Xenopus tropicalis: one gene and its partner. The protein of the gene in region 2 purifies or fractionates together with the protein of the main gene of each other region. This does not show direct contact. Links are inferred from orthologs where the notes say so. Each region holds a gene or a part of one and is shown on either strand. Other genes may lie near its edges.

Region 1 (5,033 bases), on a different chromosome or scaffold from region 2:
TAGGCATACACCAGTAGTGCAAGTTATTTTTACCATATTACATACAACCATGTATTTAGACTAAATCCAATATCAGTGAGTAGTTAATGTTGGAAGAGCCCAGCCTAAATCAAACCAACAGCTTAGCCATGCTAATGACAAAACTTTATTTCAGTGCTTGTTATTGAAAGAGTAGGAACATGAATAGCTGTTTACAAACTGATTCTGCAAAACCATACATCCAATGTATGCGCTGGAAAATAATAACTTAAACCCAGATACGTTGCTGGAGAATTATGCAAGTGCTTGGCTGACTAAACACACACAGCATTTTTAACTGTGTAACAGCATTTTGCTCCAGAAATTTCTTCTGGTCCTAAAATAGGGAAACTTTCGCCTGGTCCACAAACTTGGTGCAGTTAAAGGGTACTCAGCAAGGATGATGGTCTGGTACACGTTTTCTATAACAGACAAAAAGAAGAAACTTACATGCATAAATAATAATGCCCAGAAGCAGAAAAAGAACAAAACTTGAAGCACATACATCAATACCAAATGCCTACATTCCTTCCCTTCCATTCGCTACTCATTCTAGTAGATTATAACATTTTTCCTGATAAAGGGCACGCAGCTTGCACGAAATGTCTCTATGGTGGTGTTGATTTTTAATATATTTATATTTGCAAGATTTGAGTGCTGCTCATTTTTCTTATTAGATTATATTATATATAATTGCTAAGGATTCTTCCTTGGGGGCAACATTAGGTCTCATATCTAGCAAGGCTAGCAAGGGAAGTGTAATGCTAAGATAAAAAATCAACTAAGAACTGCAAAAGCGCGTTTGTATCAGGAGTGGCTGATTATTTATGTTTGATATAGGATATAAATGAGGCTTCAATAGTTGTCCAATCAGTTATATATATATACAAGCTTATCATTTTCTCCTATTTTACTGATCAGGTATTACTTTGGTGCTATAAACAGTGCACTTTCTAATGCATATTATGAGAAGGGGCCCACAGGCTTCTTAAAAGGTTTCAGAAGGAACACACCATCTATATTATTGCTCACATACAAGTAGGTTTGGACACTAAGTTACCCTATGAATAGTATGTGTAGTATGTTTTGCTTATGGAGTGAATGGTATATAGTCCAGCATGATTTACTTGATAAAAATGAATGAGCCTGCTTTTGGTCAAATTGTTTGTTTCTGACATACATTTTATTTTGTTAAGCACTATTTCCATGCTGCACTATTAACTTGCACTTTAAAGTACCCAGGTAAAACCGTTTATTATAACTTTATGAATATGAATGTTAACACGTTACCAGTGAAGAATATATAAGCAGGTGGTACAACAGCTTTGAATTTTTAAGGCAGAGTTTTTTGTATTTTAATTAATAAAGATTTGTACTCCTTAAATATATAATTGGTGTGATGTGTGCCTTGTGTTTGTAGGTTTATTCATGGGTTTTCACCTTTTTCCAATTCGCTGAATAACAATTTAAAGGAACAGTTCAGTGTAAAAATGAAACTGGGTAAAATAGACTGCGAAAAATAAAAATATTTGTAATATAGTTAGACAAAAATATAATCTATAAAGGCTGGAGTGGGCAGATGTCTAACATAATGGCCAGAACACTACTTCCTGCATTCAGCTCTCTAACCTCTTAGTCAGTCAGTGAGGGGCATATGGGACATAACTATTCAGTTAGTTTTTGACTGAACAGTTATATCCAATATTCCCCCCTCAAGTCACTGATTGGTTACTGACTGCTAACAGCTTAAAGAGCTGAAAGCAGGAAGTAATGTTCTGGCTATTATGTTATACATCTGCCCTACCATACCATATATTACATTTTTGCCTAACTTACTATATTGAAAATATTTTTTCTTTTGCACAATCTACCTGTTTTACCCAGTTTTATTTTTTACAGAGCTATTCTTTTAAGAACCTATACTCATGGACAGTACCTTTGTTGAAAAGTCCTCACACAATTCTGTATTTTTATTACATGCAAATGAAGGACTGATTACATTCCTCAGAATTCCCTGTCCTGAAACCACTTACTCTTAATGCAGTACAGCAGCATTATCAACCCTAAACCTCCTCATTAGATCTTAGTAGGTTAAACAAACTGTAAATCATTAATATACTTTTCCATGTTTTTTGTAATAAAATAGCAGTAACCAGGCTACCTTGGTGCAGCTTTGATGATGTTATCAACACGCAAAATAACTTCAGCGGCTTCAGAAGCACTCAGCAAGACTTGTCTCTTTACTTGGAAACTTTCAGTTATACCCAGCTCTCCCATTTCACCTATGGTACCATTTTTCATATCTGGAAAACAAAAAAAATTAAGCCATGGTTTAATTTTCAGGGTTTAAAAAAGAGAAAACATACAGTAAAATGTTTTTACTTGTAACAATGCATAGAAAGAATGATAACCATTAGGAAGAAATGTAAGAAACAGTGAAGATGAGTGGCAAATTATTATGCACCCCCTCAGTGACTAAAGTTGCTCACATTCTGGCACAGGGTACTTTGCTATAGAGTGCCATGCTGCAATAAACACAATAAAAAACAAGTTCAACACATTACAAATCTTAAAGAAGAATGTTAGTAACCACCAGGACGGGCAATTAACTGGTTCTGCAGGAAACGACACCAGGCCAGTTTGGGTTTTTAAAACAGGAGCACCAAACCTGGTGTAAAAGGAGAATCCCCCAACAACAACCAGGTGTTTGTTACTTTCCTTCACCTTTAGGTTCTTGGTTTGCCATAGAGCAGGCTTCTTTACTAAGGTTTGTTTCTTACCCAGGCCATAGGTTGATTTCCCTTCACTGTGAGCTGCTCTGAGCTGAGACACTAGATCAGCACTATCATAGCCTGCATTATCTGCAATAATGGTTGGTAGCTAAAGAAAGAAAAATATACAGGTTACATAATGCCTAGCTTAGCATCAGAAAATAACTGAATTATAATAGGTATGTAGATTATACGTTATACTTACCATGCGTAGTGCCTTTGCAAAAGATTCCATGGCGACAGACTCTTTACCTGGTGTTCTGATTGCAAGTTCTGTCACAGCATGAGCCATTAGCATTTCTGAGCAGCCTACAAAAGCAAGAATAACGTCAAAAGTGAAGTCACTCAATCATAAACAAGGCTAACGTCAGTCATTTTTGCACATACCTCCTCCATAAACTGTCCTTGTATCTTTTACAGTCTGAGCAAGTACGCAGAGGGCATCATGTAAGGATCTCTCGGCTTCATCCAAAATTTGCTGAGTTGCACCACGAAGAACAATAGTGCAGGCCTCACCTGTCATCATCAAAAGACAAAATACATTATGTGCAATAATGATCCAGCACCAACTAAAACTCAATGTGTGTGTGGATTTTAACTTATTATATCGTATAAGGAAATCCAGCACTTTGCACAAAAGTGACCACAGCTGCAGGAAGAGATAACTCAGATCAGATAACTGACTAACCTGCACTTTCACAATAATTTAACAATGTTACCTGAGAAAGATAAAACGATATGTTGCCATTCTAACTTGCTGGCTATGTTTGACAAGGAGACCATGGATGTATGAGGGCTCTGGCACACGGGGGAGATTAGTCGCCCGCGAACAGGGAGTTAATCGCGGGCGACTAATCTCCCCCGTGTGCCAGAGCCCTGAAGGTTAAGGATTCTCCAGCTTGGGAAAGAGCTGGAATCACAACTGTTGCACAGGATTAAGATAATGTAATTTTTTTAAATATATGTTGCTAAGCACATTTCCTTTTTTTAAGTGCTCATAATATAAATCTTACAAACCTCCATATAAAAGAAGCAGGCAAGGCTACATTTTAGAATTGCAAAGAGAGATAAAACAAACGGTGAAAAAAAAATATTTTTTGTTGCCACTAATCGTTATGGCAAGCACAACACACTTTGATGCTTACCCATGGCAACACCAGAGAAATGAATGAGCTTATCCTCTCCAATCATTACTTCCTCGATAAGCTTACAGGTACCCAGTTTAACCAGCTCAGGATGATCAAAGGTTGAAGCAATCTCACCACCTTAAGGGACAATAAATATATATGCAGTTTTGTTTTTCAGAAAAAGGAATGCTAGTTTTATTATAACCAATAAGCAACAAAAAGATTAAAATATAAGCTACCTAAAATATGTATTATTCTCTGAATAATATGATGGGGAGATGGGGAAGGGAGTTGGTTTCCACTGCCTATATGAGAGGATACCAAATGGCTACTGTTTCCATATATGATAATCTCTGCCATATCATAAACAGATTAGAAATGGTCTAGCCGAACACTGACCCCTTGTGGTCAAAATCTAGATGTCACTTGGCATTTTATTCACAATATACACATAATTATGGTTGTTTGTAGCTTCAGTGCTATTATGGCTATTATACTGTTAAGTTAGCAAGGCTTTTCTGTACAGGGAACAGAAATTATAAGGCCACTGGTCACTTGGGCAATGGGCGCTGTTAACAAGTACAACAGAGCCTTTACCATGCCCCATTATTGCAAAACCTCTGCTGCCACTGACCAGAGTACCCCCCTGATGGCAGCGCTGGCTTAAAGACTCAGACTACTAGGGAGCAACTCTAATCTTTACAATTTTCTCAGACCTTTTGTTTAAAGCACACTTTGAGGTCTAACATTTAGTTACAGATACCTAGGAAAACACTGCTGTATTAGACATAGCTCCAAAAATATACTGTTCACCCAGTAGGATCTAGGAGACCAAGCAGGTATTGTTTTCAAAACTTACCACCAGCTGCTGGTCCAGAAGCCCCTAGAGGGGCTGTTTCAAAGTTTAAAATCAACTACTTTAAAGATGTATTTCTGGGATAAATTAAGCAGAACTAATGCTAAACTTATCTGAATATAACAGGCTGTCTCCCTCTAATTTGATAAGAAAACCAACATTCAGCTAAGGTGCTACTTTTAACTCATTACATTAATGCCAGCATCTGTAAAAATCTAACATTAGCACTTTTCTAAGTAAACAGACCACACTGAAATATTG
Region 2 (6,800 bases):
TTCTGCAGCAATCTTACTGGCATGTCTGGGGTTAATGGAGAGCATTTTTATGGTCTATAATGGTCTATAATGTAGACCATAAAAGCTATAATGTAGATAATAAACTTTGTTGTACAAAGCAATGCCAGTCAGCAGCTGCAAGGGCAAACAAGGTTTTGAGCTGTATTAAAAGGGGTATAGATTCACGGGAGGAGGGGGTTATTCTTCCCCTTTACAGAGTGCTGGTAAGGCCCCATCTAGAATATGCTGTGCAGTTTTGGTCTCCAGTGCTCAAACGGGATATTATTGATTTAGAGACGGTCCAGACAAGGGCACCTAAGTTGGTAAAGGGCATGGAAAGGCTCAGTTATGAAGAGAGACTGGCCAAACTGGGGTTGTTTATGCTGGAGAAGAGGCGCAGCAGTTAACCATTTCCCTCCTTCTGATTTTCAAATCTTGTGCAGTATGGTGTAGTAGTAGTATTAAGCTCCACCTCTTTAAGATCCTTTTGAGGTGCCCGTTCCTCATGGCTCACCTCCCATCAGTCCTAAATACGAACGCGACACTAGAAGAGCACCAATTCTCATTTCCATTTATCAAATTAGCCATCACAGCAACATTTCAGCACCAACCCGCTCCCCCCCTTCTGACCCTTGCTAATAAGGCTTGTGTATTTATGCCATTTTGCACATTGCCATCTAGTGGAAAGATTAAAAACAAATTTTAAAGGGGACAAAAAGACCACATTCACCAGCCAGCTTTGCACTTCTAACCTTGCAATTGGGTATAGGTGGCATTTCTGCTGCCTTGTATCCCCACTAACATGTCTAAGCCCTGTACAAACCAAAAGAGCTAGTTCACACATGCCGATACACATCACTTGTACCCAACAGATGGTGCAGCTACACTTTTTTTTTAGGCTGTTCTGGAGAAGATTTAATAAAAATGTATGTTTACACAGAGCTGAAATGTCCTCCTGCTGTTGTTGTGCTACAACTCCCAGTATTTCCCACAACAAGTATAATGTGTGACACTTAGTTGTGTGTAGTGACAGTCACAGTAAAAGATCACACTCACACGACTTTAGGTACAAATTAGTTCCAGAAATCTCATTATCCTCTGTATAGTAATAAATACTGTAAATTCATAATGCTGAGTGTATATTGCAACCTAGACACTGGATACCCCCACACTTTGTGTTTTCTGCCTCCTTTTAGATTGTAAGCTCTATGGATCAAGGCTGTCTTTACCTACTGCATGGGCCACTCTTTGTATGTGAATTGTGTGTTTAAAGCATACACTCATTTATTGTACATTGCTGTTGGTACTTATTAAATGCACATTATTGATATTAATAATGGTACCCCTAAATAAAATCTACAATTCCCATAATGCTACCCTGTAGAGAAAAAAAGATCCCTGGCAATTCAACAAGAATGAGGCCCCCGAAATATTTGAGTTGGTTTCAGTTAGGGGTGCCTTGGGATAGAATTCCGATATGTATGCGACTGTTACACAATATATGCCAATTGTTCAACCCTTATCTTCACCTCTTGCAGGGCCGGAACTAGGGGTAGGCAGAAGAGGCAGCTGCCTAGGGTGCAACCATCAGGGGGTGCCAGGCAGAAGCCTCTCCTACCTACCCCTAGTCTGCTCTCTTTAGCCATTGCCCCCGCCGCTTGTCATCGAATCACGAACCTCCCCCGCGACTGCGCATGTGCGCTAAAGCACATGGGGAGTGGTGCGAGGTGGCCGACGGGGTTGCCTAGGTTGCCTAGGTTGCCCTGTTGGCTTGGCCCGCCCTGACCTCTTGTATCGGTTATTGATTGCTTTATATGTTACTCTGTATGTCCAATATATGTAACCCACTTATTGTACAGCGCCAGGGGTAGGCAGAAGAGGCAGCTGCCTAGGGAGCACCAATTGGGGGGCGCCATGAAGCCTCTCCTGCCTACCCCTAGTCCGTGCTCTTTAGTCATTGCCCCCGCCGCTTGTCCTTACGCAGAGGGGGCAATGCTCCATCAAATCGCAACACGAACCCCACCCCCCGCGTTCAACTGCGCATGTGCGTCAAAGGGGGGGTGCGAATGAGGAAGGTGCAGGGGCGAGGTGGCCGACCGGGTTGCCTAGGGCGCCCGGTAGGCATAGCCCGCCCCTGTACAGCGCTGCGGAATATGTTGGTGCTTTATAAATAAATGTTAATAATAATAATAATAATAACAACCCCCCCAGGGACCAGTGCAAATGCCCTTGGTGTCCTGCCCCATAAGCAGACCTTTGGCCAGTAACACACATCCCTGAGCCCCCTTTTCCCCGCAGTGTAATGCTCCCCGGTAGCAGTAGTAGCAGCAGTAGCAGTAGCAGTAGCAGCCCCTGATGCAGCCAGTGACTGGTGCGCTTGGCCCAGATCAATGTGCCTGGGAGGGGCGAGTTCTGATGCAGCAGCACAAGCCTATGACAGCAGCAAGCAGGCAAGTCGCACACTGCTCTCCCAGTCTCACGGCTGCTTTTTACCGCAGTGGGCGATCGCCTGGAAGCCAAGCGAGCATCCCCCAGCAGGAAGGGAGGAGGACGGTGCCCAGTGAGCGATCGGAGCAGCCCGGCGGGTCCCTATTGCTTGCGCAGCGGTGCCCCCCCCGTATCAGGATGGTGCGCTCCGGGGCTGGCTGCGCTCCCTTCCCGCGTTAGGCAGCAGCACTATGGATGGCGCTCTTGTAACGACCTCTGCTCATTTCATCAGTCCGCTGGGGACAGGCATGCTGAGTGCCGCTGCTGTCAATGGGCGAGGACGTGGACACGCGAAAAATTAACCACAGCTTTCTCCGGGATCACAACTATGTGACTGAAGGTACCAGCCCCCCAAATATCCCCCCCCCCCTCAGTGTTGTGAATATTGTGCCCCCTCTCTGTCACTTTGATTCCAATTGTGCCAGCCACACTGTGTCTTGTCATGGTATCCCCCGTGTGTGCCAGTCTATAATTCCCACTGTGTTGGGTATCATGCATTGGGGGGGCAGATGGGAGAGTCCAGCAGCATTGGCTTAGGGCAGTTAGGAACAGGTCCTGCCCTGACCCACTGAAAGGGGTTATTTACTGCAGAGTGGCCAAGTGAGGAAATCTAAATGACATAGGGGATAATTAACCAATAAACTACTCACTTCAGAAATGGTACCCAACCTCCTAATAAATCCTGTGAGACTGAATATCATGGGGATTTTCTTTGATTTGGTCAGTTTTTAGATTCAGTCAATTAATATTTAATAAATTTTGGTTTATCTATAAAACCTTAACCCTGGTATTTGTCGCCCTACAGCCAAATTACAACTCCCCCCCCCCCCTCCAGGGGTTGCTGGGAGTTAATGGTTGCTCAGCAGAGTGCCTGTCTATTGAGACAAATAAATGCAAAGCCAGGCGTTAAAGTGTCGGGTCGGTGGAAGGGGCACATTATTTGTGGTTCCCTCTGCCCTGAGCTTGATGAGCAGAGAGGATCGTATGTGAGGAGCTGACAATGGTGGAGCCGTGTAACAGCAGAGCAGTGAAAGCGCTCGGTCATGAAACCCTTTGGCTTGGTGCATCTCAGGGCAATAAATGTTTAATTAGTGATCCGAGAGCCTGCGCTCTAACGTGGATCGACAATAGTCAGGTCAGCAAAATTGCATCCCATGTAAATCGACCCACATATAAATGGCTCCAGCTGCAATTCATAAGGTTCCTAGTTCGGCCAGTCACACGGTCACGGATGGCTAGAGATACATGAATATCTATGGGCAATTAGAGGTGGCAGATATATATTTAATGCTAAATTAGATGGACTAGCGTGTGCTTGCATGTTCCCTTCAGAGACTGTTCCCCTGGTTGGCTTCATGGATCATTATTGGGTGACCAAGGGCTTAGCGCTCCTTATAAATGCACCCATCACAAGAAGGTTCTGCAGCAGCTTAGGCCTCTGCTTTATTAGATGGCCTAGTGGGTGTAGTCATCTATCTGTCTATCTATCTATCTATCTATCATCTATCTATCTATCATCATCTATCTATCATCATCTATCTGTCTGTCTATCTATCTATCTATCTATCTATCTATCTATCTATCTATCATCTATCATCTATCTATCATCTATCTATCTATCTATCTATCTATTATCTATCTATCTATCTATCTATCTATCTATCTATCTATCTATCTATCTGTCTGTCTGTCTGTCTATCTATCATCTATCTATCTATCTATCTATCTATCTATCTATCTATCTATCTATCTATCTATCTATCATCTATCTATCATCATCTATCTGTCTGTCTATCTATCTATCTATCTATCTATCTATCTATCTATCTATCTATCTATCTATCATCTATCTATCATCTATCTATTATCTATCTATCTATCTGTCTGTCTGTCTGTCTGTCTGTCTATCTATCTATCTATCTATCTATCTATCTATCATCTATCTATCTATCTATCTATCTATCTATCTATCTATCTATCTATCTCCCTATCATCTGTCTATCTGTCTATCTTTCTTGTATCTGTCCTTTTCTTCACCCATCAGAACAGACACAGCTTGAACATAGATTTATATTTTCTTTACCTTCGCATTTTAGCTGTTGTGCGTTGATAAGAGAGATGAGGGAGATGTGGAGACTTTGCCTGGATGCCCTGGAATCCATTAGATGTTCCTATGGGGTAGAGCTGAGGGTGTATTCTGTATATTCTTTTTGATGACTGGATTTGTTCTAAGTCTATTCTGATTCTTCCTCTGTGGGTCCTAATACAGTATAAAAGGAATAATTATCCCCACTTGTAAATACATGGTTATTAGACATAGTTGTGTGATCATGTAGGTATCAGGCCATGGTATACAGATGATGGAACTCCAGTGTGACTTGTAATATACGGTATCTCTACTTCTTTTTTTAACTTTTCTTTCCCCATTATTTCTCCCTCTCTTCTCCCACTCTCTCCTGTTCTCCCCTCTCTATACCTGTATTCACCTTTTTCCTTTACTTGTGTCCTCCCCTCTCTTCTCTTTTCCTTTTATCCCTTCCTTTCTGCTCGCTTTCTCTTCTTTTAACCGTTCTACTTTTCCTTCTCCCCTAATCTGCCCCTCATCCTTTTTATTCTGACACTCCTCTTATCCCGCACTACCCCTTCTCTCCCTATATCCTATTTTATTCTTTCTTTCAGTGGCGTAACTAGTGTGCCCTGGGTCCCCCTGCAAAAAAATCTTCAGAGGGGCCTGGTGCACAACAATCCATACCCGGCCCCCAACCTGCCCACTTCCCGCCCCCTGCCGATGTCTTCTGCCCACCCCCTACCGGCGTCTTCTGCCTGAAGACTGTACAACTAGAGGAAGCAGACCACCCCATCCCCCGTTCCTCCCTTTTTTTCTCTGTATCCTTTTCCTTTTCCCTTTGCGTTTACAGTATCCCTTCTACCCTTCTTTTTCTATGTGTGCCATTCTCTCTCTTTCTTTCCTATTTAAAGTCCTCTTTTCCCTATAGTTTTTCTTTCTTACTATTTTCCTGCTTTCTCTCTCTCAACCCTGGTTGCCTGTTGGCACTTTATGGCTTCTTGCTGCTTACATGTAAAAAGCCCTGTTCATACCTTTAACATTTGGCTACCCCCATTAATTATAACTTTCCTTCTTCTTTATGTTACTGATGCAAGGAAGAGTCTCCTGAAGCTTTTCTGCTCAGTTCTGTCACTCCTCTCATTCAGTGCTAGTAATGTAGCGAAACACAATAAATGGGAGGGGCTAAGCAAGGGCTGCACCATCAGCTGTTCAGGGCTGATATCTGTGGGGCACAGTATAACAGTCATATGCCTTTATATAGGGCAGAGCATCCTACAGCAGTATATAGACAGTGTTCCTGATTAATGTCAAACCCTATATAAATATATGAATTGTATAGAGGGACAGTTTACAAAGGACGATAAGATAACGTAGCCCTAATTGGAAAATGCATATTTCACAGTAACCACCAGGCCTTTTTGTCACCATTTACCACCAGGTGTAATGTTCAGCATTCCATACTAACTACAGTCTTCCTGTTTGTGCCTGATTGAGAGCTTTAGGCCTCTTTAACTGGGTCTGATATATACCTGATATGTTTTTTTTTGGCTCGTCAGTTTTATTTCCCCGATTATACCAATCCCGCAGTAGAATTTCCAGCCCTATGTGTGTGCATGAGTAACTTTGCCTTTAGCATATTGTTGTGAGTCACATTTTTTTTCTTCTCTGTCTGTCACTTTCTATTACTTTGCCACTTGTTTGGTAACTGTACCCGCGTCACTATCACTATCATCCTCATTGTGGCTTCACATTGTGTTAGTGTTTTTATATCCGCTTTTTGCCATGGGGGTTTCACATGCATTATATTTATAAAATTAACTGGAATTTCTAGCCTAAAGTTTCCGCAGCGTCGGAATGGAATGCCAGGTACCCACCAGAACCTTACACCATAGTCCCACTCTCCAAACTATATTTCCTTTTCTCCTCACTCAACCTCTATGTTCTTCTAGTCTCTTTTATTTACTTACAGTATTTACATCAAAATATCTTCTTACATCTATTTATCCTTTTTGTTTCCATAGAAAGTTAATGAATGACCATGAAATAGGCCAAAAGTTTCAATTTAGGAGGGCCCGCTGGCACCTGGACCCGGAGTTTTTCTGTTCTGTATATTGGTAAATCCCGCTATAGTGTCCAAATTTTGATGGACTGCTAAATGGTGTAGACTGTGAAAGAGTAAAAAAGGGGCAAGGGTTGCATAGTACAAGTCAGCTATTCTAGACTTTATTCTGTTAGAGACAATAAC

The links. The genes of interacting proteins can lie anywhere in the genome.
Region 1: the proteins of ppp2r2c (region 2) and cct2 purify together in Homo sapiens (affinity purification with mass spectrometry; 4 studies listed by BioGRID and IntAct, counting the BioPlex papers as one, with this or other methods). This does not show direct contact. The link is inferred for Xenopus tropicalis from reciprocal best matches to the Homo sapiens genes PPP2R2C and CCT2.

What each region holds. Positions count from the first base shown.
Region 1 is NC_030679.2:59,116,051-59,121,083, reverse strand, and holds the end of cct2 (T-complex protein 1 subunit beta), read right to left. Parts: intron 4,055-5,033; coding exon 3,935-4,054; intron 3,306-3,934; coding exon 3,177-3,305; intron 3,099-3,176; coding exon 2,995-3,098; intron 2,899-2,994; coding exon 2,799-2,898; intron 2,322-2,798; coding exon 2,180-2,321; intron 1,410-2,179; exon of another isoform or gene 441-1,409; coding exon 410-440; 3' UTR 123-409; downstream 1-122. UniProt on the Homo sapiens protein: Component of the chaperonin-containing T-complex (TRiC), a molecular chaperone complex that assists the folding of actin, tubulin and other proteins upon ATP hydrolysis.
Region 2 is NC_030677.2:25,386,849-25,393,648, forward strand, and holds the start of ppp2r2c (protein phosphatase 2, regulatory subunit B, gamma), read left to right. Parts: upstream 1-2,411; 5' UTR 2,412-2,757; coding exon 2,758-2,827; intron 2,828-6,800. UniProt on the Homo sapiens protein: The B regulatory subunit might modulate substrate selectivity and catalytic activity, and might also direct the localization of the catalytic enzyme to a particular subcellular compartment.